Caenorhabditis elegans: one gene and its partners. The protein of the gene in region 1 purifies or fractionates together with the protein of each later gene. This does not show direct contact. Each region holds a gene or a part of one and is shown on either strand. Other genes may lie near its edges.

What was found.
Region 2: the proteins of mecr-1 (region 1) and rnr-1 fractionate together in Caenorhabditis elegans (co-fractionation; one large-scale study listed by BioGRID). This does not show direct contact.
Region 3: the proteins of mecr-1 (region 1) and mdmh-35 fractionate together in Caenorhabditis elegans (co-fractionation; one large-scale study listed by BioGRID). This does not show direct contact.
Region 4: the proteins of mecr-1 (region 1) and cyn-6 fractionate together in Caenorhabditis elegans (co-fractionation; one large-scale study listed by BioGRID). This does not show direct contact.

Annotation. Positions count from the first base shown.
Region 1 is NC_003280.10:13,183,316-13,191,202, forward strand, and holds mecr-1 (Enoyl-[acyl-carrier-protein] reductase, mitochondrial), read right to left. Parts: upstream 4,000-7,887; 5' UTR 3,959-3,999; coding exon 3,869-3,958; intron 3,819-3,868; coding exon 3,710-3,818; intron 3,655-3,709; coding exon 3,434-3,654; intron 3,378-3,433; coding exon 2,763-3,377; 3' UTR 2,672-2,762; downstream 1-2,671. Other genes in the region: his-73 (Histone H2A/H2B/H3 domain-containing protein), read left to right, coding at 390-530; W09H1.3 (Transthyretin-like family protein), read left to right, coding at 1,119-1,367, 1,620-1,688; W09H1.4 (DUF1902 domain-containing protein), read left to right, coding at 1,781-1,825, 1,873-2,049, 2,381-2,416.
Region 2 is NC_003281.10:9,223,304-9,232,717, forward strand, and holds rnr-1 (Ribonucleoside-diphosphate reductase large subunit), read right to left. Parts: upstream 4,948-9,414; 5' UTR 4,946-4,947; coding exon 4,820-4,945; intron 4,776-4,819; coding exon 4,497-4,775; intron 4,450-4,496; coding exon 3,719-4,449; intron 3,672-3,718; exon of another isoform or gene 3,547-3,671; intron 3,497-3,546; coding exon 2,846-3,496; intron 2,798-2,845; coding exon 2,218-2,797; 3' UTR 2,072-2,217; downstream 1-2,071. Other genes in the region: T23G5.3 (uncharacterized protein), read right to left, coding at 5,932-6,039, 6,113-6,227, 6,281-6,583, 6,633-6,760, 7,773-7,907; CRAL-TRIO domain-containing protein T23G5.2, read right to left, coding at 8,435-8,531, 8,881-9,029, 9,078-9,278, 9,332-9,414. UniProt on the Caenorhabditis elegans protein: Provides the precursors necessary for DNA synthesis. Catalyzes the biosynthesis of deoxyribonucleotides from the corresponding ribonucleotides.
Region 3 is NC_003280.10:7,854,635-7,861,797, forward strand, and holds mdmh-35 (MitochonDrial interMembrane space protein Homolog), read right to left. Parts: upstream 1,086-7,163; 5' UTR 1,073-1,085; coding exon 1,019-1,072; intron 972-1,018; coding exon 852-971; intron 799-851; coding exon 661-798; 3' UTR 501-660; downstream 1-500. Other genes in the region: mdt-10 (Mediator of RNA polymerase II transcription subunit 10), read right to left, coding at 311-406; Chromo domain-containing protein cec-3, read right to left, coding at 1,445-1,506, 1,550-1,666, 1,716-1,788, 1,839-2,214, 2,356-2,621, 2,666-2,781, 2,826-2,835; T09A5.15 (Small integral membrane protein 26), read left to right, coding at 3,326-3,604; sds-22 (Protein phosphatase 1 regulatory subunit SDS22 homolog), read left to right, coding at 3,786-3,902, 3,954-4,019, 4,068-4,225, 4,268-4,399, 4,445-4,673, 4,720-4,806, 4,853-5,044; Spindle apparatus protein lin-5, read left to right, coding at 6,026-6,165, 6,212-6,829, 6,878-7,163.
Region 4 is NC_003281.10:768,552-776,099, reverse strand, and holds cyn-6 (Peptidyl-prolyl cis-trans isomerase 6), read right to left. Parts: upstream 2,687-7,548; coding exon 2,489-2,686; intron 2,443-2,488; coding exon 2,035-2,442; 3' UTR 1,941-2,034; downstream 1-1,940. Other genes in the region: alh-11 (Aldehyde dehydrogenase domain-containing protein), read left to right, coding at 1-138, 449-1,114, 1,163-1,400, 1,450-1,526, 1,577-1,707; tpst-2 (Putative protein-tyrosine sulfotransferase), read right to left, coding at 3,397-3,607, 3,663-3,871, 3,927-4,121, 4,168-4,294, 4,486-4,523; ptl-1 (Microtubule-associated protein), read right to left, coding at 4,933-5,115, 5,590-5,838, 6,033-6,210, 6,726-6,812, 6,881-7,193, 7,242-7,542. UniProt on the Caenorhabditis elegans protein: PPIases accelerate the folding of proteins. It catalyzes the cis-trans isomerization of proline imidic peptide bonds in oligopeptides.

The DNA of each region.
Region 1 (7,887 bases):
GAACGCCACGTTGCAAAGTACGTAGACTTTTTTTGTTGCTCTCACTGTATTTCAATGATACGGCACATTTTACTATAATTCGTACATTCTTCATTTCTATTCACGAACTGAATATTAATTTTAGAAATTAGCAGATGGTTCCGCACCAGCGCACAACAGTTCGTTCAATTATGAACCAACTGGAAAAACAACTTCAGGCTGGCAGCAGAAGAAACGCGGCACCAGAAGAAACGAATCCCAGCTGTACAGGTGAAAACAGTGAATTTTCAACAACAAAAAACAGTTTACAGACTTTGAATCTTCTCATCCGCAGAGCACCATTCCAGCGCCTTGTTCGTGAGATTGCTCAGGATTTCAAGACCGATCTTCGATTCCAATCTTCCGCTGTTATGGCTCTTCAGGAGGCTGCCGAGGCTTACCTTGTCGGACTCCTCGAGGACACCAACTTGTGTGCCATCCACGCTAAGCGAGTCACCATCATGCCAAAGGATATCCAATTGGCCAGACGTATCCGAGGAGAGCGCGCTTAAATACCTTTTTTGGTAGTTGAGCAAGCTTAATCTCAAAACTTTACCGAACCCAACAACCCTCTTTAGGGCCACAAATGCATAAATCCAGTCCTTGTGTAAAATAAAAATTGTTTTCTTTGTTTTTTGTATCATTTTGAAGGCCCGGAGAACCGAACCATCAAATTTTGGCATATATTTATTATATTTTGAAAGCGTTGCCACCCATCTGGCTCGCCGCATACCCAATCTGACCAGACGCCCTCCCAATCTGGCCAAATACACACCTAATCTAGCGAGACGCACACCCAATCTAGCCAGACGCACCCCTAATCTAGCCAGACGCACACCTAATCTAGCCAGCCGCACACCTAATCTAGCCAGACGCACACCTAATCTAGCCAGACGCACACCTAATCTAGCCAGACGCACACCAAATCTAGCCAGACGCACACCCAATCTAGCCAAAACCTACTAATCTGGCCAGAAATAAACCCAATATAGCTAGCGAAAACCCCGATCTTGCCTGGTTGATCCAGAACGGGTTGTTCGTGGTGCCAGATTGGGTTTTTTCCTGGCTAGACTCGGTTTCGTTTGCCTGAGCAGGGGGTGATGACTTCTCCGTCTGCGTCACGAGAGCTGGAATTAAAGGGACGAGTACGAGAGGTGCTTCCCAGTGGTGAACTCCGCTTGGAACATGAGCCAATTATGAAGATTCCGTTCCTTCCAAAGCGAAAGAATGTCGATACGGGCCTTCTGAATCTGCGGCTGGCCGGTGTAGAGCTCTCTCAATCTGGACAGCAATTTTTGGCGAAGGATTTGAGGCACACCAATAAGCCCGTCACTTTTACCGTTATTAAGGTATTTTTAATTTATAAAACGATAATTTTTGAACTAAAATCCTCATAATTTTCAACAGGTCGCTTTCAAAATTTTTATGTTTGATCTACCATTTACAACGCTCCAAATTTTTTGTTTTTTTTTTTAATTTTTTTGCGGCGCGACCTTTTCGATTTGCGGGAAATTATAATATTCTGCACATCCTAATAAAATCAGTATTCATTTCTCAATTTTTTTATTCGCGAAGACAATGTTAATGTGTTTTTTTTTCAGAATGACTGCCATCGAAAAATTTCACCACTTCCGGTGATCGATCTGCTTTCCGCTCGCCCACCAATCTAGCTATTGTCCGTCAAATCAGCTGCGGCTCGATCCCCGGCCCGGATTGTGATCTATCCGCAATTGGAGATCCGTCTCGAAAAATTCACCGCAAAATGACATGGTGGATTGCGACCGGGATCCCCGGATGGTTCAAGGATGTGAGTATAAAATTCTGTAAGGATATTCTAGTTTATTTTTTTTACAGGAGATCATGCCACGTGCGATGGAACTGGCAAAAGTCAAATCGTATACTGCTCACTACGATAATCACGGAGTCTTCCTCGATACCTTCTCGATGACAACAGATCTTATCGAGGACGAGAAAAAGATCAAGGATCGCATCATCGACTCTATCAGAGCTCAGGTGCCATCTTATATGCCTGTAAGACTTGTTTTTTTTACAAAATGTTTCAGAAAAATAGAGTGAAGCTTAGGGCTGTCATGGGGGACGAAGGGGGACGTCCCCCTCGATTTTTGAGCTTTTTCCGGCGTCCCTTTTGTAGAAAGCTGAAGCACCACTATCAAATCGAAGCAACATTCATCAGATTAATCCAATTTCATGTTGGGGCTCCAGTTTACTACAAAAGGGACGGCGGAAAAAGCTCTCAAAATTGAGGAGGACGTTCCCCTTCGTCCCCTTTAACAACCCTAGTGAAACTTGAAAAGAATTTGAGTCCTCATTTTTCATTTCAAAATGTTCGATATTTTTTCAGATGATCAAATTGGTGGTCAGCAAAGCGTCTATCTAATTCTTGGAACCCCCCCGTGCTGCTGATAATGACTTTGACTTTTCTTTCAAATTACCTCTCCTACTATTCCCCTTTTTTCTGAAAGATTTTCACATCCCGAATTTAAATTAAATCCCTTACTTTCATCCATCAGTTCAGTTTATTGTCAGTTCACGTTCTTATTTCATAAATTTTGTAATTGAGTATAATCTGAAAAATGGCGCAATTGCATCTCGGCCATCACAATTTTCAGAAACACGCCATTGAGGACCTATTCGGGCAAAAAACTGTTTTTATTTGGAAAAAAAGCATGATCAATCTTCACATCACATTAAATTGTAGCAATGATACCCGATTACGGAGCGAGTTATTCCAAAACGAAGAATTGCTTCTTGTCGAATTTGCTCAGCGCAGTATCGAGAGCTTTTGCATGATCTTCCAATCGATTCTTCACAATCTCCTGCTTCTTGATCTCTCCACTCTTCATCCAACCGGCAAGCTCCTGGTACATCTCATGCCGCTTTTCCGGGGATTTCTGAATATCGTACCATCTTGACATCCAGAATCCGCGAAGCGAGATATCCTTGAAGATCAGTGGCCCGGTTGGACAATCGACAGGCTGCTTGCTCATTCCACCGTAGGTCACCATACATCCTCCGTGGTCCAGGAGACTCGCCAAAAACAGGGAGCTTCTGCCTCCAACGCAGTTTAATGCTAACTTGACTCCTGGGAATTTCTTCTTTCGACTATACAACTCTTCCTGTGTGATAACTTCGTCGGCGCCCAAATCTTTCAGCTCTTTCACCAATTCTTCCAGATTATCGCGACTTCTCACAACATTCACAGTTTTGATGCCAAGGATCCGGCAAATTTGAATAACGTGCTTCCCGACAGCCGAATTGGCTCCGTTTTGAGCCACTGTGTCTCCTTTTTTCAGGTCGATAAAGTCTTTAAGCATACGATAAGCTGTGGGAGGATTCACCTGTAAAAAAAACAAATTCTGATTATTCCACTGCTCCCTAGCTTTATAGATCATACCTGGAATGTTGCAGCATACTCCATGGAAAGAGTATTATCAATCGGAAAAAGATCATTTTCCTGGTGGAGCCCGAGCTCTCTCCATGTTCCTAGGCCAGATCTGTCGGGAATTACATGGTCTCCAACTTTAATCGAGCTCACATTGGATCCAACACTAATCACTTTCCCAAATCCTTCATTTCCACCAACCGCCGGTAAAGCTGGCTTCACAGGGTACACACCTGAAATATACTTCAAATAATTATTTTTTCAGATTTTGGAGCTATAAAAACCTACCTTGAATCTGATTCAAGTCTGCCGGGTTGATTGGAGCTGCTATCCATTGAACCAGGACCTGATCCGCAGACGGCTTGTCCGCAATTGTGACAGTTTTCAATTGTATTGCCTGAAATTAAATGCAAATAAAATTAAAAGCAAATTCGCGTTTTCTCTCACCTCGGGAGGGTTTCTATATCCTTCATAGACTAGTTGTCTTGTCGAGGCAGCTCTCTGGAGCGCAGATCGTAGACTGAGAACTTTTAACATCCGGAATTCGCACAGTTTACACAGATTTTCTTATTTTTTAATAGAAAATATAGAAATAAACGGTTGTAGATTTACGATAAACAACACGCGTAGGCGTTATTTTGGAGTATCGTTGTCTATTTTTTTCTGCGTCTCTTGTTTACCACACACTCTTTTTTTTTTTTCAAAACAACGATTTTCGCGATTTTTTCGCAATTTTTCCCAAATTTTTCCAATTTTCATCCGCTTTTCAAGTTTTTTTCAACTTCCTTGACTGAAAAAAAACTGTTTTTCATCGATTTTTTACTCATTTGTTAGGTTTTCGTCGTGTTTTTTTTCGATAATTGCCCGATTTTTGTCCCACGGCGCTTTTTCTAATCAATTTCCTCCCATTATTTTTGTGAAAGATGCCAAGTAAAAACCTAAAAAGACAAATCTTTCCTTTTGTCGATATTGTTAAACAGTTGCAAGGTTGAAACGAAAGCGAAGACGACCTTCACGGGACTTTTTTCATTTTCCCTGTTGAAAACGGATCATTTTCAGTCTTTCCCGAACAAAAATCGGCAAAATGTGATAATTTCGAGATGTTAAGGACAGAAAATTGCTCAAAATTACTTTAAAATCAGATTTCTCGCGATTTTTTCGCTCATTTTTTGCAGTTTTAGACTGGAAAAATCGTACATTTTACATAGTTTTGTGCTTTTTGCACATTTTCGGCAATTTTTTCCTATAGTTTCAATTTTGAGTCGATTTTCCGCTATTTTTCATGCGAAAATTTCACTTTTCTTGCCCGAAAAATTCAAATTTAGCGGGATTTTTCGAAATAAAATATCGAAAACCCACTAAATTTTTGCTTTAAAACATGCCGATTGGGTCACAATAACCGAATATCATGATAAAAAATTCAAAAAAAATTTTCTAGATTTTATATGATTTTTTGAAAATTGGAAAAATCTCAGTTTTTCCCCTAATTCCTATTTGAATTACCGCCAATTGGATTTGTTCGATGGAGCGCGCTTGCATTATTTTATTTATTGTTATTTTTCTTATTTTTCACTGATTCTCCATGTTTTCAGTGTATTTTTATTTGAAATTTGATGAAAAAGTCAAGATAAATGCAAATTTTTGATTAAAAAGCTAATTTACAAGCATAAATCTGTGAAATTGATTAATTCAGGTTCCAATCGTGCATTTCTTGGTTTTTAATCGAAAATTTGCATTTATTTTGACTTTTTCTTTGAAATTCAAGCAAAAATCTACTGAAAACATGGAAAATCGGTGGAAAATAAGACAAAATAAAATAGATAAATTTAAAAACGTGCAAGCGCGCTCCATCGAACAAATTTGGCAAAAACCGAGATTTTTCCAATTTTCAAAAAATCATATAAAATCTAGAAACATTTTTTGAATTTTTTAATCATAATATTCGGTCATTGTGACCCCATAGGCATGTTTTAAAGAAATTTCCCTGGGTCAGAATCAAGGGTGTCAATGTCCCGTAAAAATTACAAAAACGGGAAAACGGGAATTCCCGTTCCCGTGAAAATTTCAAAAACGGGACAACGGGAATTCCCGTTTTTTTGAAAACACTCAAAAAACGGGACAAACTGGGCGGTTTAAAAAAAAGAGTGCATAGTTGGCGTAAATTTTAGTGTATTCGAGGCAAATTATAAAAAAAACTGCATTATAAACATTTTTATCGATTTTTTCAATGTTAAACAGATATTTAAAAAGCCAAAAAATGAGGGAAAATGTCCCGTTCCCGTGAAAGTTTTAAAAACGGGACAAGGGGAATTCCCGTTCCCGTGAAAATTTTAAAAACGGGACAAGGGGAATTCCCGTTCCCGTGAAAACACCCCAAAAACGGGACAACGGGAAAAACGGGAAACGGGAATTGACACCCTTGGTCAGAATGCCTTATTTCGGTTTGATCTTCAAAAAAATGCGGGAGTTCAGACGCAAACACGATTTCGCATGGTTAAGAGTGTGCTGACGTCACAATTTTCTGGAAAAATGTTCCCGCCGCATTTTTTGTAGATCATGCTGTAATGAGACACCACGTGAACAGGGAGTGCCTCTTTTCAGTAACAAAGCTCTATCACTAGCCAACAAGCGAAAGATGGCCTCCGAGCCAGCAGTTGCACCCAATTTATTCCACATTTCAACGCGACTGCCACACAGCACAGCTAACTGACTATATTGCGAGCCACGCCGCCGCCGCCGCGCGAAAAAGTGTCATCCGATACATCTCTCTCATCCTTTCCGGCTAATCAATCATCAACACAGAGTTCTGACATAGATTTGAAACTGCGGCGGCGGGTGGCAAGGAATAGCGTAAACAAAGTGCCCCCTCCACGTTTCTACGACCTTCTCTCCATTTTCCCAATTTCTCTCATACTTCTCATTTCGCCATTGTATCTTCTCCACCTTCTTGCTGTTTGTGAGGGTTTTTTTGGTTACAGTGGCGCCCGTTTCTTCGCCGGTCAACCCCCAAAATTGTTTCACTTCGGTTTTTTTTCTCATTTGCCAACGCAATTGTATAGAAGTTTCCCACGAACCCTTTTGTATATAGGTGTTTAGTTATTTAATTCATTAAATTAGCAAGTCAAATGTATTTGTTCGACATTATCAGCTCTTAAAGGTGGTGGAGAGAGAATTTTTTTTATTGCTTTATTGGATTCAAAATTGTCTGAAAACACCGAATTTCATAATGAAACTTGTTGAAAACTTTTCAGAAAAAAGTTATGACGGCTCAAAAAATGGCTCGAAATCAGTTAAAATCGGAAATTTGACTTTTCAAGCGGCTGGAAACAATTTTTTTTGAAATCACCGTCAAATTTTGAGTATAGCAGTTGATTATCTTGCGTTTTAAACTTGATTAAGGTATTTAAAAGTCGATGGACGGCGAGATTTTTAATTTTTTTTGAACAAAAACTCGCCGTCCATCGAATTTTAAATACCTTAATCAAGTTTAAAACGCAAAGTAATCAATTTGAATACTCAAAATTTGACGGTGATTTCAAAAAAAAATTGTTTCCAGCCGCTGCGACATTGACAAGTCGGCCAAATTTCCGATTTTAACTGATTTTAACCCATTTTTTGAACCGTCATGACTTTTTTCTGAAAAGTTTTCAAGAAGTTTCATTATGAAATTCCGTAGTTTTGGACCATTTTGGGTCTAAAAAGGCAAAGTCTCAGATTTCGGTGCTCCACATTTAATATTCGAGTCTCTTCCAATAGAAATTCTAGTAAATAAGTGATGATTTCATTCTAAATAGACACTTTACGTCCTATATTTACACGTAAAGTTGTTATCAGTGCCATTTATCGTAGTCATACTTGGCATTTTCTCAGTCATTTCGTTGTCTTTTTTTCAGTTGTAGTTGAAAGAATTCCACGTGGTGTCAGGTGGTCCCATAGCTCCACTGTACACAAAAATGGCGGGAAAAATATGTTTGAATTTTCATGACGACACAGCGCAATTTGAATAATTGTTTTTCAATTTAAGCGTCGATTTTTCTGAAATTTTAAAAAAGTCATTCTTCAAATAACTGTTTTTATTAGTTTATAAAATTGATATTTCATATAATTTTCGACTGGCAAGTTGAGTGGAAAATTATTTGAAATATCAATTTTATAAACTAATACAAACATTTATTTGAAGAATGATTTTTTAAAATTTCAGAAAAATCGACGCTTAAATTGAAAAACAATTGTTCAAATTGCGCTGTGACGTCACAAAAATTCAAACATAGTTTTCCCGCCATTTGTGTGCAATAGAGCTATGGGACAACCTGACACAAGGTTTTTTTTTTCAAATTAGCAACTAACATTGAACTTTTTTTGCAATTCGAATCGTACAAAAATTGTTAAACAATGCCTCTCGTTGCTCGTGGGTTTCTATTTTCTATCAATATTTCTCGGGGGTACTAGTACTATAAGTCATCAGA
Region 2 (9,414 bases), on another chromosome or scaffold:
AAACTTCGATACAGAAATCTCCCTTGTCGTTAAAGAAGGCCTTCAGTCACGTGTTGAAATGTTGAAATAAACAACACAAAAATTGAAACTGATCTCAAAAATTTGACCTGAAAGTTGCCGTTTACACGTCACTTAGGAAAGAGACACGCAAATTCGAAACAGAATACTTCTCGTTTTTTTTGTTGTGTTTTCTTACAAATTTAACAAAGGCCATAAAGTAGTCTCTGGACGGAAGCTAAAAGGAAGGAGGATTGCAAAATGAAATCGTTTTCAAATGACAAAATGATCAAACTTTGGAAATGACGGAGCAAAGATAAAAAGTTTGAAGTTCAAATAAGGACTTTTTGGCTTTCCCGGAAGCTTAGCAAACTTTGCAAGTCATATATTTTAAAGGATGACGAGTTGAGCTATCAGGTATTCTAACGTGGTTCAATATTTTTTCCTTGAAAGTTGAACGTCACAAGAATTTTTGCAAGAATGGCAATATAGAATGGGAAGGTGGTGTGATTAACTGAAAAAATAGTTGAATAATGATACTTCTTTACGTTACTTACTAATTTTTTATAACCATATGAATAGACTATATACTTAAAATAGACCTAACGTAGACCTAAGATCTTAGACCTGAAACAATAACGATAATAATATACTCAAAGTGTTGAAAAAGAGGGAGCTGTAACTGTACTTTAAGAAAGTGTGTGACGTCACAGCGCAAAACATTGTGGTTTCAGACATACCTTACAGAACATAATTTTAGTTCCTGCTCGAAGAAGAATATTTTTATTTTTACGATCATCTTATTTTAAAACAAAAAAGTAATGCGCGTTTAAAATCCTTTAAAACCTACAAAAATAGGAGAACTACAGTACTATGGCGGCAAACTATTTGTCAAGCTTTTGCTAAAACGTATAACTAGGTAAGAAATAGTTTATTGCAAATGTTTTCACAGTTTAGGATTTGAAGTTTTACAAATTTCTATTTCCAAATCAAATAAACAATTATAGACAATTCTGTTAAATTTGGTCCTTGTAACGACCATTTCGACGGCGATCGTGGCGAGACCCACTGAGAAAAGCAGTTTGCGCCTTTATTGAGACGTTTAACTTTTTACGAAATTACAATATTAGGAAAGTATTCAGAACTGACTCTTACATTTGTTTTCAGTTTTCTGAAAATAAGTTTCCAAATCTAGTTTTATTTAAAATGAAATCCAACAAAAAACCTATAATAACTGCTCCTCGAGGATCAAGAAACATTTCATGAATGTAAATAATAGTTTTTTCTCTCAAAAAACGAAAAACCAAAGAACTTCATATATTTTGATTCTATAGTGTTGCTTTTCAATCCTTAATCCAATCATCTTAACCTTCTGCTTTTTTGTCACACAAATCATATTTCATCGCATGCAGTCTAGGAAACCAAACATTTCTTTTTTCGAACAAAAAAAACGAGAAAAGGAAGAAATCCGTCTCAAAAGTTCCAAAAAAAAAAGAATCACAAAAGTTCCGACAGAAGCATCATCATCTTCATCATTTCGTGTGTCTCATAGCTTCTCTGAGTGCTCTTCTGAGCCAAAAAAGCCAAACCGAAACAAAGTCATCAATCGTTTTGAAGTCGAAATGAGCAAAAACGGAAAAAGAACCCAAAAAAAGACAAAAGAGACGATGAACAGCTTCCAATGACGAGACAGGGAGGAAACGAGTAGTAGTTTATTTGAAAAAAAGAGCAATGAGCAAAAAAACCAAGAATCAAGCTAATCTCGCTAAGAACCGGGGGCCCATCTGACGAGAGGAGCTCTACGCATAGTTCAATGTTTCTATTCCGGCTCATTGAGCACACGAAAAGAGAATCGAAAGGGCGCATTTGAAATCTGCTCGATTGACGGTTCACTAAACATTACCCACGTACACCTTCAGTCGAGACCCACTTTTGTTGCACCATGATGTTGCTGAGAGAGTATTTAGGAAAAAAACTACTAGAGCATGAGAAGAGGAAAACTTCCGAAGTTTCGGATGTAAACCTAACACGGTTCCACATTTTTCAGCTCCTGCAATTCAAATCGCTCGAGGACTCAGATTGTCAGTTTATTGACCATTAAAACTTTAGAAAAAATGAGTAACCGCGAGCAAAATAGGGTTATCAGTATAACAGATTAAAGTGAAAAAGTGAGCAATTTGGGAATGTACAAACATGATCAACGGGTGAAAGAAAAAATGATTATCCGGAGCACATGAGGCATCCTTCATCTTGCGACTCGGCCACGGTGGCTGGCGTCTCAGCTTGTTGGTTAGTTTTCAGCGCATTCTTATCCACAGTGAATTGAACTGCATTGACAGCTGGCTTGGTACGCAAATAGTACATTCCAGTCTTGAGTCCCTTCTTCCATCCGTAGAAATGCATTGATGTGATACCGGCGTAGCTTGGCTTGGCCATGTGAATGTTAAGAGATTGGGATTGATCAATGTATGCTCCACGATCAGCAGCCATCTCAATAATGTCTTTTTGAGAGATCTCCCACACTGTGCGATAAAGTTCCTTGATGTCGGATGGAATTCCATCAATGTTTTGAATGGATCCATTGTTGGCAATCAGACGATTCTTCATCTCATCAGTCCACAATCCTCTTTCCACCAAATCCTTGAGCATGTGAGGATTCACAATCTGGAAATCTCCAGAAAGAACACGGCGAGAGTAGATGTTCGAAGTGTATGGCTCGATGGATTCATTGTTTCCGAGAATTTGAGCAGTGGAAGCAGTTGGCATTGGAGCCATCAGAAGACTGTTGCGGATACCATGCCTGTAAATAAGTAGTTTAATCAGATTCGAAAGAGTATTTTAATCTTACTTTGCAATTTTCTTGCGAAGAGTGGCCCAATCGCATTGATCGGTTGGAGTGACTCCCCACATATCAAATTGAAGCTGTCCTTTCGATACTGGAGATCCTTCGTATGTCGAGTATGGTCCATTCAACTCAGCCAATTCACAACTGGCTTCCAATGCAGCGTAGTAGATGGTTTCGAAGATTCGTTTGTTGAGATCTCTGGCTTCTGCCGAAGTGAATGGGTAACGCATCAACATGAAGCAATCAGCGAGTCCTTGGACACCAAGCCCGATTGGGCGATGGCGCATATTAGAGTTGCGAGCCTCCTCGACTGGATAGTAGTTGACGTCAATAATCTTATTCAAATTTCTGGTTATAACTTTAGTCACCTCAGCCAGTTTGACGAAGTCGAACTTTTTCTCGGGGGTCACGTAGCGATTGAGAGCAATGGAAGCAAGGTTGCAAACTGCAATCTCATCTGGAGCAGAGTACTCTATGATTTCAGTGCACAAGTTGGAACACTTGATAGTTCCAAGATTTTGCTGGTTAGACTTGCGATTGGCGGCATCTTTGTAGGTGATGTATGGAAGCCCGGTCTCGATTTGGTTGGAAACGATGTGCTCCCAGAGCTTGCGGGCCTTCACCGTTTTGCGGACTCGTCCCTCGGCTTCGTATCTGGAAATTTTGATATGAACTTTGCAAATTTAACTTCACTGTTTAAAAGTTTTTGTTAGTTGATTTTTGTCCGGAGCACACCTTTTTTTTTGAGTATATTCCGGTTATCGATCAACTATTTCATATTCGAAGTTAGTAAACTCAGTCCAAGCAGTACTCTTAAAGTTCTGTCTGGATATCGCACTTCGGTAATTAAAAAAATAAGAACCAGGAGATACTTACTTGGCGTAAAGAGCTTCGAACTCCTCTCCCCAGCAATCATCAAGTCCTGGACATTCACATGGGCACATCAACGACCATTCTTGATCCTTCTCGACTCGCTTCATAAAGAGATCTGGAATCCAAAGAGCAAGGAACAGGTCTCTGGCACGTTCCTCTTCCGGTCCAGTGTTCTTGCGGAGAGATACAAACTCGAAGATATCGGCGTGCCATGGCTCCAGGTAAATAGCAAATGCTCCTGGGCGTTTGTTTCCTCCTTGATCAACATAACGAGCAGTATTATTGTAGACACGAAGCATTGGTATGAGTCCGTTAGATGTTCCATTAGTTCCAGCGATCACAGATCCAGTGGCGCGAATTTTGTGAACATTGAGTCCGATTCCTCCGGCACTTTTTGAAATAAGAGCACACTGCTTCAATGTATCGTAGATTCCGAGAATGGAGTCTTCACTCATTGTCAGAAGGAAGCATGAAGACATCTGAGGACGGCATGTTCCCGAATTGAAGAGAGTTGGGGACGCATGGGTCATGTAACGCTCCGACATCAGATTATAGGTCTCGATTGCGGAAGTAATATCATCTCCATGGATTCCAATAGAAACACGCATCAACATCTGCTGTGGGCGCTCGACAATCTCCTTGTTTATCTTGAGAAGGTAGGAACGCTCCAGTGTTTTGAATCCGAAATAGGTGTAGGAATAGTCACGATCGTAGACGATGGCGGAATTCAGCTTCTGAAATGAAATTTTTTTGAATAAATGCAATTCCTAGGAAAACTAACATCAGCATTCTTCTCAATGATAGCCCAAGTCTCATCACTGATCATTGGTGCGTGTTTTCCGGTATGAGGATGATGGAACTCGTGAAGGGTTTTCATAACTTCCGAGAACACCTTATTCGTTTTCTTGTGCAAGTTCGAAACGGCGATTCGAGCGGCAAGAAGAGCATATTCCGGATGTTGTGTGGTCATGGAAGCAGCAGTCTCTGCAGCAAGATTATCCAACTCAACAGTTGTCACTCCTTTGTACAAGCCACTGATAACTTTGATTGCAACAGCGACCTGGAAAATTTAATTCATCATTGAACTTGTGTTTAATAACAAACCGGATCGACAAAATCCATGTTCAATCCATAGCTCAGCTTCTGAATTCTGGAAGTGATCTTGTCGAAGTGTACATCTTCCTTTCGCCCATCCCGCTTGACAACATAAGTGCTGTTGTAACGTTGCATAACTGGAAAAGATGAATTATTAACAATTTGAGAAGAAAAGAGTGAAAATGGAGGAGCGGAGAGAATTTTCAAATGACCAGTTCATCTCAAATTTACTAGTTTTCGCGCCTAGGTAATAGAGGAACGCGCGAAAACGAGACGCAGACCAAACAAACGCGCTCCATCGGAATTCAAATTCAAAAGGAAAACGAATTATTGAAATCTTGGTCTCATAGAAAAAACAAGTATTACAGTGAAACAGAATACATTATATTTTCCTACGAATTCTGGCTTCAATATGGTTTTCTGATAGAAGTGAGCTAATGTCGAAACACACAAAATTGGCCTAGAAATTCAAACCGAAAATCCACGGTCCTGAGCATTTCTAACTACGGCAGTTTGAAATGAAATATTAATTCACAGCTGAAGAATTTCATTTAAACAAAAAATGTGTTTAGTTTTCTGTGTGAGGAAAAAATCTATTTATACCCTTCGGCACCACAAGCACCGCCTCTAACCATGGCTCCGCCCTTTAGGACAAGTCCGATAATCGCATTTCATTGCTCTGAAATTTAAAAAAAAACGTAAAATTCAAAATAAAACCACATAAAAATGCATAAGATCAGAAGAAACCCCGAAAATAAAAGCTGTAAAACACAATTTTGCCGCGGGTTACTGTAATGGTCTCGACACGAAATATTGTATTTAAAAACTTTATGCGTGCGCCTTTGAAAGAGTACGGTAATTTTTTAAAGAAAAAAACATGTTTCGATGAAATAATATTTATATTCAGTTTTTCCTTAAATTTTCAAACTGCGGACAAAAAAGCGTAGTTTTTTATTTTCTGATGTTTTGTCAGAGATCACTAAAATTTGCTGTCGGTCAATTCAGACAATAAAAAACCACCAGCTGTGATTGCGAATTTTCGAAAATTCGAAAAACGCGTATCTGTTGGCATGCAAGACATGACATAAATAATTTATTTTGACACAGATATATTCAAATGGTTAGTGACGAGATGTTCCATCTCTTGACTGCATTAATCCTCCAGTTATGAGCACTTCCACGCTATGGCTCTCCTCATCCGCATTTTTGTTGACAACATTGTATACCGCCTGAAAATAGATAAATGAATTTTAATTTTATAATTCTATAGATATTCTACTAATTTTCAAGAAAGTTACTCACACTAAGATCAACTGCCTCTGCAGCAGCATCACAGATTTTCCTCACAGTCGGATCATCAGTCATTTTCTTATCAAAAAGTACCGATGCACCATTCCAACCAACATGTGCAATATGTCTGAAAATAAACTTTTGTAAGTAATTAATAGATAAAAGATATCCAAATCTCACGTAAAGTTCCTTGGAAGACTAATCGAATCTGCAGACGTTTTAATTTTTTTGGAATTTCTGCCAGTTGGAGGTTTTCTCATCGGAATTTGTACAGTATCCTTCGGCTGCATCAATGACGGAAGTGGTGGTGGTGGAGGTGGAGGTGGTTTCGAAAGAAGAAGATTACGTGGGACAATCGGAACATTTTCTTTTTGGGTCAAGATTTGGTTCGGTATTGGAGTTGATGGAAGTTCAGGTGGGCAAGTACAAAATGTTCGCAGCTTATGTTCTATCATGTTTCGAAGTGGTCCAATTTTGAAAAATCTATAATGATTTATACTTTTTGCAATATTCTGATTTGTTCCGAACTTACACCGCTTCACGTAAGATTCGCATAAGCTGATATTCGTCTTTTGGCAATGAACATTTCTCATGATCTCTTAGAAAGTTGAGAATAACCGGAAATACTGAAGAATCACGGTCGATGAAGAGTCTACCATCCTGAAATAAGCATTCAAATTTTCCCAATCTACCGTAACCCCCATTCTTGCCTACGTCACAAATTGACGTCACAGGCACCCAACAACCAGTTGGTCATTGCTTTTGAACAGTGCGCTACGTCACACCAGGAGGAGGTCAAGGGAATGGTGTTAGTGGTTGTGGTGTCGGGTGAAAAGTATGGCAACGGGTGGTGGTGGAAAATTATTTGAATGATTCAATGGGCCTGCAGATGTTTGATGACGTAGACATATACGCAGAGTATTTAACACAAGGCATTGGGAATCTTGGGGAAGGTTAGTTGACCAAATGAGGTTTTATTCTATTTAATGGAGTGTTAATATATTTTATAACTGATGTGTTCAGAGCAGTTTATGCGGTTTTTAATTCTAAAAATACGGTACCTGGTCTCGACAAGCGTAAAGGTCTCGACAATACGAAACGAATGTGCGCCTTTAAAGAGTAATGTAATAAAATTACAGTACTTTTTGAAGACGCACACCCTTTTCAATTAAAAAAAATTGCCGCTCCGAGACAAAGTACCGTACTGTTAGCGCAAAATTTAGCATTATGATATTTTTATTGACAGTATATGCTTATTACCCATTCTTGAATTTTTGCGATTTTTGAGGCTTGGATACCGTACCTGGTCTCAAAACTATCGAAACTTTACAGCTACAGTAACCGAAAGTGTTTCACAATTTTCCACGATTTTTTTTGTTTGATAGTAGGCGTTTTCCGGAACAAAATTTGAAGATTTTGTATTAAAAATCATGAATAATCGTAGCAAATTGCGAAGTTCCTGTGAGTACGGTAGCTGCAAAGTTTCGTGTCGAGACCCGGCACCGTATTTTTGCGCCAGTAATCACAAAATTCAACAACATGGCAATAATCATTTGTGTTTGGACATTCTAGGAGGTTAGGGACCTGCAGCAATGCTCTAAAATTCTAAGAAGTTTGGCAATTTACCAAATGCTTTAAACTTTGTAAGTTACAACTTTTTTTTTAGACTTACTCTATCAAGCTGCTCCCTCCAATTAGTTTCGAATAATTTAGTAAAATAAGTTCCTTCTATAGATTTCAAAGTAGCTATCCTTGTCTTAAAATATACACCTTCAACATCAAGCGATATTAATGGTGGAGGTGGCATTAGAGAGAAATTAACCACTTAAAAGGTGCGCGCGAATTCAAAAAGTGGTAGAGGTATTCTACCGAAAGCGACTAACAAATAATACCAGCTCAATTTCCATTCTTGGAGTGGGCGCTATTTGTCCAATATATAATATTGGAGTGTAGATTATGTTTGTGTTGGGGTGTGAAAATCATTGTTCTTTTGCCTTTGCCTCACTCGTTTTGGCTTGTACAAAACTTCTTTATACTCAATTGCTCGGCATTTGATGGATGAAGAGTGAACTAAGAGAGGAAAAGTTCGAAATTAATAATAAATTACATCAAAAAAGTAGTAAAATGAAGGAATATGATAGAAATGGAGACAATGAGAAAAACCGTGTTTGGGACTGTAGACGAAGAAAAAGGAAATAATAAGGAATTTGGTGTTTGCATGTTTGAAAGCAGAAGAAAAGAAGAGACAGAATGGGAAGTAGTACAGAAGAAAGGAAAACGAATCACAAGAATACGAGTAGGGTCGGATAAAATTTTGAATTTTACAAATGATGTTTATGGATTGCGGGGAGTTCCTGGAGTTGGTGGCGTTGGTGGAGCAATTGAACTGAACGATGATGAACGGCAAGATTCGAGGGAGGCAACGGATCCTCTGAAAACAAATTGCATTAATAAGGCTACTGTAATGGATAGTTTACGTTTTATGTAGACGCAAAAATTTTGCGAATTTGTGTGCCTAGAATATGGTGCCCGGTCTCGACGCGAAAGTGTTTTGCTAAATAAAAAAGAATGTGCGCTTTGAAAGAGTACTGTAATTTCAAACTTTCTTTGCTTAAATTCCGCCGAAACGAAAGTTTCAAGATACAGTACTATTTAAAGGCGCGCCCGTTTGTATTTAACAAAATTGTCGTGTCGAGACCGGCTACCGTATTCTAAGCGCAAAAATCGCAAAATTTCGAGTCTCCATAATATCAACTGTAATAAATGTGTAAAGAATTTACCGGAAATTTTCAGAGTTTAAAATCTCGTAATAGTAGATGAGACGACATTTGTGAGAACCAAAGTCAAAGGTTGATGAGTGGCCGGCTGCAGTTTCAGGGACTCTCCATTGCATGATATATGTACCAGCTCGTGAGCAATAGTGGGAACCCTAAAAAATACCATTTTTAAATGTATTTTTTATATTTTTTAAGAGTACCTGCATAGAATCTCCTTCCTGGAATACAACTGCCTTTTCCTCTAGACGTAGCTGTGGTGTTCCAATTTTAAGTTCAGGAGCACACTGAAGATCGGGATGTTGATGAGATGCTCCTCCGATTGCTGCAGATACCATCTCAACTGGATTGAGAATGGTTGTTGGTGATTGAGCTCCATCACGGACTGCTGGTTGCTCGATTTTCTAGAAAAATTTAAACGTTTAATTATTGAGAATGATAAATAATGTAGATTTACCTCAGTCGAAAAGTACAGACTGAATTCACAATCATTCTTAAGCACATCGAAATCCCATGTAAGCACGCAGCCAGCTGTCTCAA
Region 3 (7,163 bases), 5.3 Mb from region 1:
AATTTTTCAACAAAATGTTTCAAACTTCAACGTGTTTTTGGAGAAAAAAAATTTGGATTCAGCTCTGATCCTCGGTTTTTCGGTTTTACTCAAAAATCAAAAAAAAATCCAAAAATTGAAAAAGTTTTTTGGTTCCTTTGCTCAAAAAAACTCAAAATATTTATTTTTGTATGAAATAGGGTGAGAACCGTAACAAAAACATCGAATTCCGTTAAAAATACCAACTTTGAATCGTTTTCGAATTTTTTGTTTTTTGGTTTTTCAAGAAAAACTTTCTTTTTAATTTTTCTGTGATACCCTTCATTCTCACCTCTCTATCGTTTCTTTCGTGCAATTCCATCATCCTTTGTTGGCTTTGCTGCTGTTGCTGAACCATGTGTTGAAACATCGGACTACTCGGATCCATCTGATAAAAATTGTTTTTACGTACTCATATTCGCACAAAATCACATAAATAGTCAGTGGAATAAACCCAAAGTTTTCAAGCGGTAAAAAAAAATAAAAAATGTTTGATTTATATTGCGTTTTCAATGTCATGCTAACCGGAAATCAACAAATGAAAAAGAGAATAACCTAGTAACAGGACAATCAATAAATTACAAAGCTAGCGGATACGTACAGGAGAGTTGTGAAGTGAGGAAGATCAAGGGATAACGAGATTCAAGAGGAAGAACACTTGTTTTCGGAATTCGTTTTTTGATTATTTTGTCGATCCTTCAACTTATCATCGTCTGTATTCAAATATTCTTTGCGAATTTCGTCCAAATCTATTTCGAACGGTCGTTGTGTAGCTAATCTCTAAAAAATAATAAAATATTACTTTTAAAACTTTTAAAAACCGTGTAATTTACCTCTTCAACGCATCGCTTGTAAACATCATGTAATCTCTCGCATGGATTTACAGCATACTGATGCCTGTAATTGGGAGTGATGAACTTTTGGAAGAATTCTGTGAAGCATTTGTCGTAGATCTAAAATCGGATTTTATTGGAAATCGAGAAGAAATTAGAAAACTAACCTGCTTGAGATGATCGCATTCGGGAAAAATACTAGACATGTGTCGATCACTCATATTTTTTGCATAGCTAAAATGGTATATTATAAGGTAGAATTAAAGACATTTTCAGATATCAAACGACTCGGAGATAAACCGATAAAACATTAAAAAGAAAATTGAACTTTCAAAAAGATATATTCATTAGATGAATCAACATTTTGAAAAGAGATTCTTCAACAGAAAAGTTATGGAATGTTAGAAGAAAAAAGATGAATTCGATGAAACAGAGTTGATAGTAACGAAATAAATAAAGGAGTCGTTTAAATCGTATGGAAGGAGAATGAATGATAGAAACAGGGAGAGAGATAGATATGCTTTGAACTGTAGTATGAAATGAGACAAAAAATAAAAAATCGAAAGCTTAACGAAATTAACAAAACTCGAAATTCAAAATTCACAACGATCGAGGAGATACTTGGCGAGAGCCCAACCATCAAGTTCGAATGCCTCTGAAAATGAAAGATTCGAAACTTTGAGAATAACCTATTTTACCTCTTCCTTCGACGACTTTTCGTTCACCAGTGGCGGAGTTGGTCATCAGTATCAGCTTCGTTTTAGTGTTGTCGACATCAGTGTGACGAGCAATACCATCAACAGTCCAGGTTGTTTCTGAAATGTAATAAAGAACAATTTACGAGGATTTTAAAAAATAATTTACCATCTTTCACAATGACTGGGGGAGCAAGAGTTCTTTGACGGCCATTTGATGTTTCCGCATTTATAGACTTTCTCTGAAAATACATCATATATATACATATTATTTTTATGCACTCGAACCCACCTTAGACGTTGGGATAACTGAAGATGCGCTGGCAACTGGACTTTCGCTTGGGTCTTTCTTTATAACGACCTCTCTTGGCTTTGGTGGTGTAGATGGTCGCTTGACAGGTTCTTCTGCTTTTTCCTCAACTGCCTTCACTACTTTTACTTTGCTCGCTATTTTCTCAACATCACTGAGTGGCGCCGTAGTTTCTGCCTCGTCATCGGAAGATTCTTCATCAAGCCAATTTCTTCGGGTATCACGAACTTCCATTGCAGCTTTCTTCGCATTGTTTGGAGCTACTGGACCAGAAACCGTTGCTTCGTATGACTTGAGTGCAGCTTTCGTTGGGACTTTTGGAACTTTTGATGATACAGGAGTTTCGTTTTTAGCAGATCTGCAAAAATCGATTTAAAAAAATGGAATTCTCTCCATTAGCATCATTCCCGACAATTACGTGTGGATGTATTTACATTTTTGAAAAAAAAAACAACACCACTATTCAAACTATTGTCGTTTAATAAAGAATTTAGCTCACTTTTTACTTTTCTTCGATGTCTTCGGAGTACCGTAGCTACCGTCGCTGTCATGGTTAGACTCATGGTCACTAACCGTCTTCGATCGCTTTTTTGATTTTTGCGATTTGTTCTTTTTTATTTGCTTTTGAAGAAGTTCAATAAGCTCTGTTTTGTCAGTGACTTTCAATTTTTTGTAGTACTCTGCAACAACTTCGCTGGCACACTCTTGCAGATCTTCTTCGGGTTCCCAGGTATCCTCGTCGGCGCCATAACCCAACCAACGAACCTAAAATGTGGACAATTAAGTTAAGAAATAATTTCGTGACTTACTTGAAGCACTAGCAGATTATCTGTAACTTTATGAGCAAGAATCTTCTCAACTTCAAAAATCTCGTCAGACTTTCCCTCTCTTGCTTCGGGCTCTCGAGACTCTTCACGTGAACCTTCTGTAAAATCTATTCTAGGTTTTAATAAATAAATAAAAACATACCATTACTCATCTTCACAACTTTTAGAGATTATTAGTCGACAGTTAAAATCGATTGAAGATTAGAAAATAAGACGGAATTTTCAAAAGAAAACTCAGCGACAGCAGCAACGACGCTCCGAAGTTCTGCTGCGCGCCCTCTTTAGCGGAGTTGAGAAAAGAGACTCAGTTTCCCCGGATTGCGGAACTTGAATGGAAATAATTTGTTCTTGATAAATAATGAAAATGTGAAAGTTTTGCAGTTTTTTTTTCGAAATATTCAATTATTGTCTATAAAATACTTTTTAACTTGTTTTATTTCATAAGCATGATCACTGGTCAGCTAACGAATCTCACAGATTTGTTTCTACGGTAAAAAAGTCCTAGAATGAGCAATCTCTTCAATGATGAAGCCAAAATAAGAAAACATATTTTTGTTTCTATAGACTACATTTTTTAATTAATCCATCAATTTATTCTATTAAACATACTGAAAGTCATATTGTAATCAATTTTAGCTACACATGCGCGTTCCTGAAGGAGCCCCTGTTCCGTTTTGGTTGTCAGTCAAGAATCGTCTTCCCAAATGGGCCAAAGTTAATCGGCCAACACTCGGATCCATGGCAGTTGTAGCTACTGCACTTGTTACATGTTGTGCTGTAGCTGCTGTAACGCTTTATCCAAAATATCATCATGATTATTATAAAAACGCACAAAAAGAGGAACGGGCCTTACTTCGATCATCTCGAGAACAACAAGCTGGTCCTCAAAATGTCTGGATCGATCCATTCGAACGAAAATAACTTTTTTTCATTTGTTTCTTTCTACGTGTATTTTTCATAGTTTTTCAAAAAACATTATATAGGTCTTGATATGCTTGTGATCTCTTTCTTAAATATTGCGTTAAATACGCCTGACAATATCTATAACTGACTGATAATCTTGTGCGAAACTTACAAATTCAGAGTAATATTACTACTAGTAATGTCCAACGACAAATCCGCTGAAGTTGTTGTTCTTCCTCGTGAAAATGACGAAGAATCCAAAGAGCCTGTTTTGAAAAATCAATTCGATTTGAGCACATTCGATATCGATTCTCCGGTTTGTTTTTTTTTCCGCTTGGGTTTATTGGTGAAAGTAAACATGTTTCAGGAAATCGATCTAACTCACACTCGCGCTGATCACATTCCAGATCTTACTGGATTTCCGAAAATAGAGGTAAGAATACTTCAGAAATACGTGTGTAAATACAATGATTATATTCAGGAACTGAGAATGCGCAATAATCTTCTGGTTTCAATTAGCCCCACAATTTCTTCGTTAGTTACTTTGACATCCCTGGATTTGTACGAAAATCAGTTGACCGAAATTTCGCATCTCGAATCACTCGTAAATTTGGTTTCTCTTGATCTGAGCTATAACAGGTGAAGAATTTAAGAAACTTTTATTTCAATAATAACTTTCAGAATACGCCAAATCAACGGCTTGGATAAATTGACAAAGCTCGAGACTCTTTACCTTGTCAGCAATAAAATTGAAAAAATCGAAAATTTAGAAGCTTTGACGCAGCTCAAACTGCTCGAACTGGGAGATAATCGGTAAATATGGAATGTTTCAACATCAAAATCACAAATTGTGTTCAGAATCAAGAAAATCGAGAACATTGGTCACCTTGTAAATTTGGATGAATTATTTATCGGCAAAAATAAAATTCGTCAGTTGGAGGGAGTGGAGACCTTGCAGAAGCTCAGTGTTCTCAGCTTGCCGGGAAATCGTATTGTGAAAATTGAAAATGTTGAGCAACTGAATAATCTGAAGGAACTTTACCTCAGTGATCAGGGTCTACAAGATATTCATGGCGTCGAACCTCTGGTAAAAAGCAATTCAAAATACACTGAGAAATGGGTCTTTTTTGCAGACTAATTTACTTCTTTTGGATGTTGCAAATAACGAAATCAAAACGTTCAGTGGCGTTGAAAGACTAGAAAGTCTTAATGATTTCTGGGTAACCGAGACATTTTACGTTTCTTCTATATCTTTTATTATTGCAGGCAAACGACAACAAAGTGGAAAGCTTCTCCGAAATTGAGCAACTTTCAAAGTTAAAGGGTCTTCAAACTGTATACTTGGAGAGAAACCCGTTCTATTTCAATGATACAAACCAATATCGCAGAAAAGTTATGATGACCCTCACCCAAGTAACTCAAATTGATGCTACTACGTGCAGAAAGCCAATTGAATAACTCTCGGACGCTTCCAATAAATATCCGTTTGCTTTTCTTATCCATGATAATCTTTCATAAATATGTATCAGTTTGCTTCATTGTTTGATATTGAGAACAAAGTGTAAGGTTATTAAGAGGAATCGCAAATGAATCATAATCGACCTCCATATGGGCGAAGCCAATCGAAATGGCCAGATATTATCAGCTAATGAAAATTTAAAAAAAAAACGACTAATCAAGAGTTTGAAAAAGGTTTCATACTTTGAGAATAATGCAGTAGTTTTTAGACGGTGCGGTGAGATTTTAAGAAGAAATTATTTATTCTTCTCGCTAAATAAATATGAACCAAAACCAACTTTCCATGCCTGAAAACTTAAAGTGTGTCAATTACAGAGCTTTTCTTTTGAGAACAATCAAGAAGTTTCCTCGAAAAGTATTAAACATATATGAAATGAAAGCTACTGTAAGATTTTTTGTTGTGAAAATAAAGATTTTATTGGAAGGCGCACTTAACTTTGTCCCCTAAAAAAGGAATGTTCTTTCTTTGTTTTCATTAAATAATTTCAAACTCAGCAATGTGTATACGGTTTTTTTAAAAGGCGCATGCACATAATCTTTCACATGGTTTTATAAATAAAGAATGAAACCATTTTCGCGCGCGCGCGCATTTTTGGTTTTATTTTTCATGTTAGATTCCTCTAATGTTCATTTCAATCAGTGTGTCATCCCACTTTTTAACAGCTTCATTTTTATTTATTATTCGTCCTTTTAATATTTTTTTGGTAGACTTGTGCATGTTGACCTGCAGGTCCATGGAAAAATTGTCATTTGAATTCCCGCTGTTTTTAGAAGTGTCGTGAGAAAAGTGTACGAGCATGGTGTAAGAGACGCAGACATTCTGCGTGCGTCTTTTAAATATTCTTCGTTTATGTATGCGTTCTCTCTCGTTCTTTCGCTCAACCACTCGCATTTTCTTTGAATAATTACTCCTTCTGCAGAATGAGCGTGAGCACATCAGTTGTGAAGTCAATGCTACAATTGACGAACTATTTTGGCTCCAATTTCACACCGAAGACGGAGACAATCAGCTCATTAGCCGAGCTTTGGGAGAGGCACGGGAGTATGATCGCCAGTATGATGTAAGTAATAGCTCATTCATAAACAATTTCATATTTTATTTTTCAGGTCATGCGACACTCGGGAGTTTGGCACAGCTGACAAATTCTATGAAGTTATCTTCCGCAAAATCGCCACAACGAGTCTCAGCTTCATGACCGATTCATTGGAACCGAAGCTTGCAGCGAGCGGAGATTCACTGGAGATTTGCAAATTCTACGCTCTGTTTCTCGAGTATATGAGAAAGGATCACTCGGGAATGCTCACTCGCGCATTGGAGCAAGCGTCATCAGAGAATCGCGTCGACACAGCTGTGCTTCTTGATATGTTTTTGTTTTTCGACAACGTGTATTCGGAAAGTACCGCTGACGACTGGTGGGCATGTCTTCGGAGAGATGACGAAGATCAGGAAGCATCCAGTGGCTTCAGGACTCCGAAAAGGAACAACTACAGCTTGACATCATTGCAAACACCAACAGCTACTGCCCGGCGACTACGCACAGCTTCCTCAACTGCTCGGCGAAGCCCTATAGCGGAGGCTGTCGATTCCCCTACCATGAAGTTCATGCGAAGCGAGCGGGAGCTGAAGCAGTCTAAAGCGAGAATCTTTGGTTTGGAGCAAATGTTAGGAGACCTTGAAGATGACAAGACCAAGTTATCGGCTGAGAACAGAACTTTGAAGCTTTCGTAAGTAAAATGGTACATTGAATTTAAAATATGGAGAAAATATTTTAGGAATTCCGATCTGAAAAGCGACATCGCTAAACTGAAAGGTATCGCCGAGGAGGCACAATTTCGTGCTGAAGAATTGAGCTGTGATCTCGAAGCCAAAAAGGATGAAGTCCACAACATTCTCCAACAACTCAATGAATCTCGAATGACGTTGAGATCCGAGCAAAGAAGTCTGGAGGAAGCTGACATAAAGAAAGAGAATCTTACTGCTAAGCTGAAAACGGTGACCGAAGACAATGGGAAGCTCATGAAGCAGGCCAGAGAGCTTCGAGATCTCAACGACTATGAA
Region 4 (7,548 bases), on another chromosome or scaffold:
AAAAGACTGGAGATCTTCTGAAAACTCATTGCAACGATATTGCCTACTGGGAGTGTATTAGTAATGGAAAACCAATTGCAGAAGCAAAAGCTGACGTGCTTTCTTGTGTTGACACTTTCTATTTTTATTCCGGAATTGGTAAGTGCATAATAATGTTTGGTTCTAGAAAATGACGACAACTGCAGTCATGATAAGAGATTTTCAAAAAACAATAAGCGTTCTCTAATTTTTGATTTTTTGAGTTGTTTTGTAGGTGTTCTATAGCATTTTGATATCAAAAAATTATAGAAAATTCATTTTCGAATACCCTGATTAGATATGCGCTTTCTAAATGGCTGCCTACAGTAAGATATATGTGACGTAACCCAATTCAAATTCCCGCTCATCTCCCGTTTTGGCATAATTATCAGCAACAAATGACATACAAATCCTGATCTCCAAAATCTAGCATCTGACCTTCTCGGTCAACACGTTCCACTCGATGCTTCTCGTTACGCCTATACACGCCGTCTTCCTGTTGGAGTGGTCGCCGCCATCGGTGCCTGGAACTATCCAATTCAAACATGCTCCTGGAAAACTGCACCAGCACTGGCCTGTGGAAATGCTGTCATATATAAGCCCAGCCCGCTGTCACCCGTAACTGCACTGATATTGGCTGAAATTTTGAAAAGTGCTGGACTACCGGATGGAGTGTTCAATGTTATTCAAGGTGACGCTGAAACTGCACAAGATCTCATTCATCATGATGGGGTATCAAAAGTATCATTCACTGGAAGCATCCCAACTGGAAAGAAAATCATGAAAGCCTGCGCCGATCGAAATATCAAGCCAGTAACCCTGGAACTTGGTGGAAAATCCGCATTGATCGTGTTCGACGACGCCGATATCGACTCGGCGGTGTCTTGTGCAATGATGGCTAACTTCTACAGTCAGGGACAAGTTTGTTCTAATGCTTCAAAAGTTTTGGTTCATAAAAGTGTGCTGAAGGAGTTTACGAAGAAGTTGGTAGATCACACGCAGAAGATGAAAATTGGTGACCCTTTGAAAGAGGATACTCAAGTTGGATCCCATATTTCTGCAGAGCATCGTAACAAAGTCGAAGGGTATATAAGTAGTAAGTTTAGAAATTTAAGTAGATTCTCAATAGTACACCATTATTTAGCTGCCATTGCCGAAGGAGCCACCAAGCTTTGTGGTGGAGATCGTGTGGCCGTTCATGGCCTCGAGAATGGATTCTACTTGTCTCCATGTATTTTAACAGGCATTACACCCAAAATGACAGTATATCGGGAGGAAATCTTTGGATCCGTACTTCTAATCATTCCATTTGATACCGAAGATGAAGCTATTAAAATTGCAAATGACACCGATATGGGATTAGCTGCGGGTCTAGTCACGAAGTAAGAGTACCCTATTAAAGCATGTTCAATGAAAATCTCATTATTCCAGAGACCTCTCAAGATCCTATCGAGTATCTGAGCAGTTGAATGCTGGAAACGTCTATGTCAATACCTATAATGATGTTTGTAAGTTGCTCCGAATCCCACTAGATCTAGAAAAGAACCTGTAATTTCAGCGCCACTGGTTCCATTCGGAGGAGTCGGAGAATCAGGATTCGGACGTGAAAACGGAACAGCAGTACTCGAACATTATACTCACCTGAAGTCGGTCTTTGTCAATACCGGAACGTGCCCCAACCCATTCTAATGAGTCTTCAAATGTACAAATCTTTATACTTTACTAGTTAGACGAACGGATCGAGAATAAATTATTGCTTTTAGAAGTGTATTTCAACTTCAGAATTGAAACCAATACTCCACAAAGTTATGATATAGTGTTTTTGGTATTTCGAACATTGGCAAGTCAGGTTGCTCAATTATTAATACTATTACAAGTTCCAAAACGTAGCACATCCTGACAGCGCTGTATAATCAAGTACTGAAACAAAACACGTTTATTAGAATTTTAGAAAGTAATTATAGTACATTCAACAAAAATACACATATTAATTGGAAAACCCGTAGATCATTAGGTTTAATTAACTCCTGCTCTGGCGACAGTGAATGGGTTCTCTACTGGAATATGTCCAGCGTTGGCGATGACAACATCCTCAATTGGCCGATCTCCAGCTCCTTTTGGTGTAGCCTCGATCTCACGAACTACGTCCATTCCTTCCAGGATCTTACCGAACACCACATGCTTTCCATCGAGCCATGAGGTTTTGGCGGTAGTGATGAAAAATTGAGATCCATTGGTATCTTCTCCAGCGTTGGCCATTGACAACCATCCTGGTCCGTAGTGTTGAAGCTTGAAGTTCTCATCTTCAAAGCGCTCGCCGTAGATCGATCGTCCACCGGTTCCGTCGCCACGTGTGAAGTCTCCACCTTGAATCATGAAGTTTTCGATGACACGGTGGAACTTGCTACCAACGTATCCTTCTCCCTGAAAATATTAAAGTCTACAGAATTTAATTAACAAACTGAAATACCTCAGCTCTCTGTGCCAACTCAACGAAATTCTTCACTGTCTTCGGCACGACCTCTCCGAAAAGTCCGATGACGATTTTCCCAACAGGTCTTCCTCCGATCTCCATGTCAAAGAAGACCTTGTCAGTGACACGTGGTCCACGTGCCTCGGCTGACAAAGCCAGAATGGCGAGAACGAAGAAAAGAAGAGCACGGCTCATCTGGAAACTTGTTGAGATTTTGGATGCTCATTTTCATAGTAATATAATTAGAGTAGTATATGGTAAAAGTCGGATTTGACATAAAATATGATTTTTAAAAAAACCTCAAAGTAAGAATTTAGTTTCAAAATTAATCGTTTGAAGTTAAACAAAATTCTAATAATTTAGCCTATCAAAATTTAATCATAAGATTTCTAGTTCCTGATCTTTTTTCCCCTACTTTGTACTTTAAGTACTTAAGTACTAAGTACTAAGTTATAATAAATAAATATTTTATTTATAAATATAATGCATAGTATTTAATTTAACTAACAATGTAAGCAATTTTCTAGAAATCCAACAGCATGTATTTAATTGTAAGTATATTAATTGCAAGTTTTATTTTTCAAAAAATATAGAAGAATGCATTCAAAAATCCTGTTCGAAAAGAAAAAAACGACAAAAGAAAAATCGATACAGCTGCAGGAAGCAGCCGTGTCCGGCGGAATAGTGGACATTTGTGCGTGCGCGCATTCTTTTTTATAGTGTTGCAGAGAGTGTGGAGAATTAGAAAGTTACCTTGACCTCTATCTGAAAACAATGGGAGATAATGATAATGATGTAGGTTAACAGTTGTATCTATAGATAAAAATAAAATAATAACAATCTATGATGTAGGTAACTTTGGACATCTTATTTTCTATAAAAGTTATAGGTTACAGTGCAAAACTTTAAGAATAAAAATTTTTAAATTGGTAAAAATCGTCATCCGCAAATGTGGAATAATCGGGTTTTGAAATCGACGTATCGTATCCAAGAATTCCCAAAAAAGGTGCCACGTCATCAAGTTTTCGTAGAGTTTCTTCACTAAAACAATCAAACCACGAGGTTAAGGCTTTAGTGTTTATCGAGTTTTTAACTTGTGATGCAGAGAATTCTTGACTGCAAAATTAAGAGATAGTTGAAGTTCAAAAGTTTTAATGAAGAAAGCACATACTCGTTTAAATCAACTTCGTCTCCAATTAAATCTTGATGTCTTAGCATTTGCTGGGAAAATGGCAGATCCAGGAAGTTGGTGATACGTAGGATTTCTTCCGCAGGTTTTTGAATCAGTCGTTCATAATATACTTTTATGCATTGCCCTGGCGCATTATTGCATTGAAAAGTCATTTTTCGAAGCTCCTGATTCCACTGAACAAACATTGACTAAATGTTTCAAATTATCTTTAGAAATTCAAGAGTTTCATTAGGGAGACCTTACAATTTCATCAGACGTATTATACCCAGCAACTGGTACTTTTCTTTCTATCATTGAATGAACTACGGCACGAGCATCTCGAATCATCAGAATAAACTTTGCATTCGGGTACAGTCGGCGAATAGTCGGAAGCCACAATGCGGTGTATGGATCCTTGTTGCACAGACGAGGTGCTAGTTCACTGTGCTTCGCGACTATCTGTATGAATTGCAATTAAAGATGAACACGGTGACAAGAGCACTACCTCAGTGATGAATGCTGAAACAGCGTCGTCAAATACTTCCTGAGTAATTCCTGAATTATTGACCCAATCATTCCGCCAGCCTGCTTGCCATGTAAGGAAACTTGGAAGCAGCATGGTTTCACCGCCACTGAAAGTTTGAAGTGAGCAGAAGTAATACGTTTTGTTTTTTCTGAATAAGAAGTATCATATTGTCAAGAAAAAGTCTTGACTTCAGAAAGCCTTGTTTCGACGGAGTTTAAAAGTTTTAAAGGAGAAGAAATTCAAGATCTTTTGGCCAAGCGCAGCATACATCGCATTTTTGAAATTTTCTAAATTTACCATCGAACATCCGGATGTGCATCTAGAATAGCTCTCATCAAAGTAGTCCCACTTCTCGGCACACCACCCACAAAAATCAGCTGCTCCAAATTTGAGAGGAGTCGTCTCGAGTGTCGAGCATCTTGCTCATTGAAGATTAAGCTCTCTTTTGAAAGACTTAGCTGTTCTAACTTTTCCTGAAGTTTCTTACTGAAAAATTACCATTTTCAAGTAGAACCCACGATACACTTTTAATTACCACTTTATTGAAGAGAATATCAAAAGACAGATTGTAAAGCAAAAAATGAAAATATAGATAAAAAAGCTGAAACCTTGGGATAAAATTCTTCGATTCAACATGCTCAGGGAAGTCAAATAGAAACTACGGCTGGGAACAGTTAATATATTCAAAAATTAATTCAATAGTTGCACAAATATTTGAAAGCATATTATTAAGCGCGGTATACATCAGCGATTGAATATAAAATCAGGAGAAAGAGGATAAATGGCGCCTGGAAATTTGTTGGGCAGTAGAGAATTGCTTGAAGATCTCTGTGAGACACTTTGTCGTTTTGCAAAATCCTTCTTCTTATCAATTATTGTGGCCGTCATCATTTTTGGTCGACTTACTGCCACTTCGCTGGAAATTACCTGAAATTTCGTGGGGCAAATTGTGATCCAGTGATGGATGATAAACTGTGCTGAGAAGATGAATTATTCAAATAATCAAATTTATTACAAAAAGAGGTCATCAGTTTGCTGAAAAAATACAAAACCTCTGAAGATCAGTGAGGTGTGGTAAAATTCAAGTGAAAGCGTGGTCCGATCATAACGAGCTGATGTCCAGCGTAGAATGATTCCGGCTCGAGTCCGTCGACACGTAGCGGATTTTTTCGTCGAAAATCTGAAGAAAAGCGTGATATTGTGTGTGTAGCCTAGTTTATTACGAACTTGAACATTTCCACCACCAGGCCGATGATTCATATTGTCCTTTGACCCAACCTTACTCTCGGCTTTCCAGTTCAATTTTTGACTTAATATCTGAAAATCAATAGCTGCAATATGAAAAGCCACCACGTCAAATTCAAGTTCACTCGTGTTTCAAATTCTTAATCTTCAAAATACCTGAACATTTCCACCAGCAGGCTTATGCGCTGCGTTGTCCATTGACCCAACTTTTGATTTAGCTTGCCAAGTCAACTTCTCCGAAACTATCTTCACGTCAGACTTTGCTGGCTGATAATTGGTTTTCGAGCCAACCTTTGGTGAAGCTGCCGAAAAATCTAGCTTCCTGTTTTCGATTTGAACGTTTCCGCCTCCGGCAACGTGTGTTGCGTTTTTCAAGGAGCCAACTTTGGATTGGGCGTTGTAGAGCTGAAATAACTGAATGTGTAAAAAATATCTAGGTTTTGATAATGCAACTTCTGGCGAACATCCTTATTTGGTGTTCTCCAAAAATGAGATCTACAAGACCGATTTGTTCAGCTCTTTTTTGAGCTAAACAGCGACCTTCATAAACGTCATCTGATTGGCTCAAATCGCAGAAAAATTTTTTAATGTTCACTCACTCTTTTCTCCGAGAAAATTTCCACATTTCCGCCGCCCGCCTTATGATTGGTGACACTTCCCACTTTGCTCTTCACATTTACAAATTTGGCGTTAACCTTTGGCGTCATTCTTCCAACATTATCGATGCTTCGCGTAGACGTGGATTTTTGAACATCCGACCGTTCTCGAGACATTTTTCTGAAGATTTGTTACTTTTTTACTAATTGGCTATAATAGGGATTATTCAAGCCAAGCAAAATTTTCAATTTATGGTCAATCAGTAATGATAACATTCTATATATAAGTAACAACTATATGTAATAACTCAAATTCTACGTGGAAATGTGAGAAAGTTTGAAAAATTGAGATCGCAGGTGCCATAAAAGAAATAGGAGCAGTTGGGTGCACAACAATAGAGGAAGCAATTATGTTTTGCAATACCCAGACAACAAATATTCCGCACCAAGTTTAGGTGATGTATTTTCACTATGGGATAGTTTCAGGAAATGAGTATAGATACGTCCATTAGCAAACTTAGATCTAGTTATTTACTACCACGAATGAAAAAAATAGGCAAAGATACGTCTAATACATATAAGCGCAGAGAAATGAAAAAAAAAAACGTATTTTGGATACAATAAGACGGACAGAACCAAACCCATCTTTAATCTTCAAATAACTCGAGAAATTGTTATGAAAAAATAAACACTCACGATATGGGTCTCGGAGATGGCGCTGTTGAAGCAGTTTGTCTTGGTGTACTAATAGCGCGTTGAGACGAGGGAGTAGCAGTTGCTGGCCTAAAACAAGGAAATGCTCAGAATTTGTGATGAGTGGTCACTAGGTGAGCAACAAATGAAAAAATTACCTTGGCAAAGATGCTGGTATCGGTTTTGGCTGTCGCAGAATCGCCGTTGGTGGCCGAATCCCAGATCTTTGTGGGGTCTTATGTTGGGGTTGTGATGGAGTTGGGCTCATTTGTTTCTTCTCCTCGACTCTCTCGTTTTCATTGTTCTGCATAATTCTGTCGGCTTGTTGATCGGAGGTACCAGACGTTTCGGAAAAGTTTAGAGACTCGAGCTCTCTCGGAGCGATATCTTCCATTGTTGGGGCGTCGGGGATCGGACTCGAAGGCTTGGATTTTCCAGATTTTTCAGGTTCTTGTTCTCGAGGAGGAGATTCTGAAAATCTAGAGATTAAGAATGCTGAAGATTACATTTGAAACCTACCGACTACAACTTCTTCTTCCTTCTCGACTACTGGTTCGGGCTCTGGCTCCGGTTCAGGCTCTGGCTCCGGCACAGGTTCAGGTTCTGGCTCCGGTTCAACCTCTGGTTCAGGCTCCGGTTCAGGTTGATACTCTGGCTCAGGCTCTGGTTGTGGCACCGGTTCAACTTCTGGTTTAGGCTTCGGTTCAGGCTCCGGTTCAGGCTCCGGTTCAGGCTCCGGTTCAGGTTCTGGTTCCGGTTCAGGTTCGGGCTCCGGTTCTACTGCAACCTCCGGAAAAGAGCCCTGACTATACTGAGTTTCCTAAAA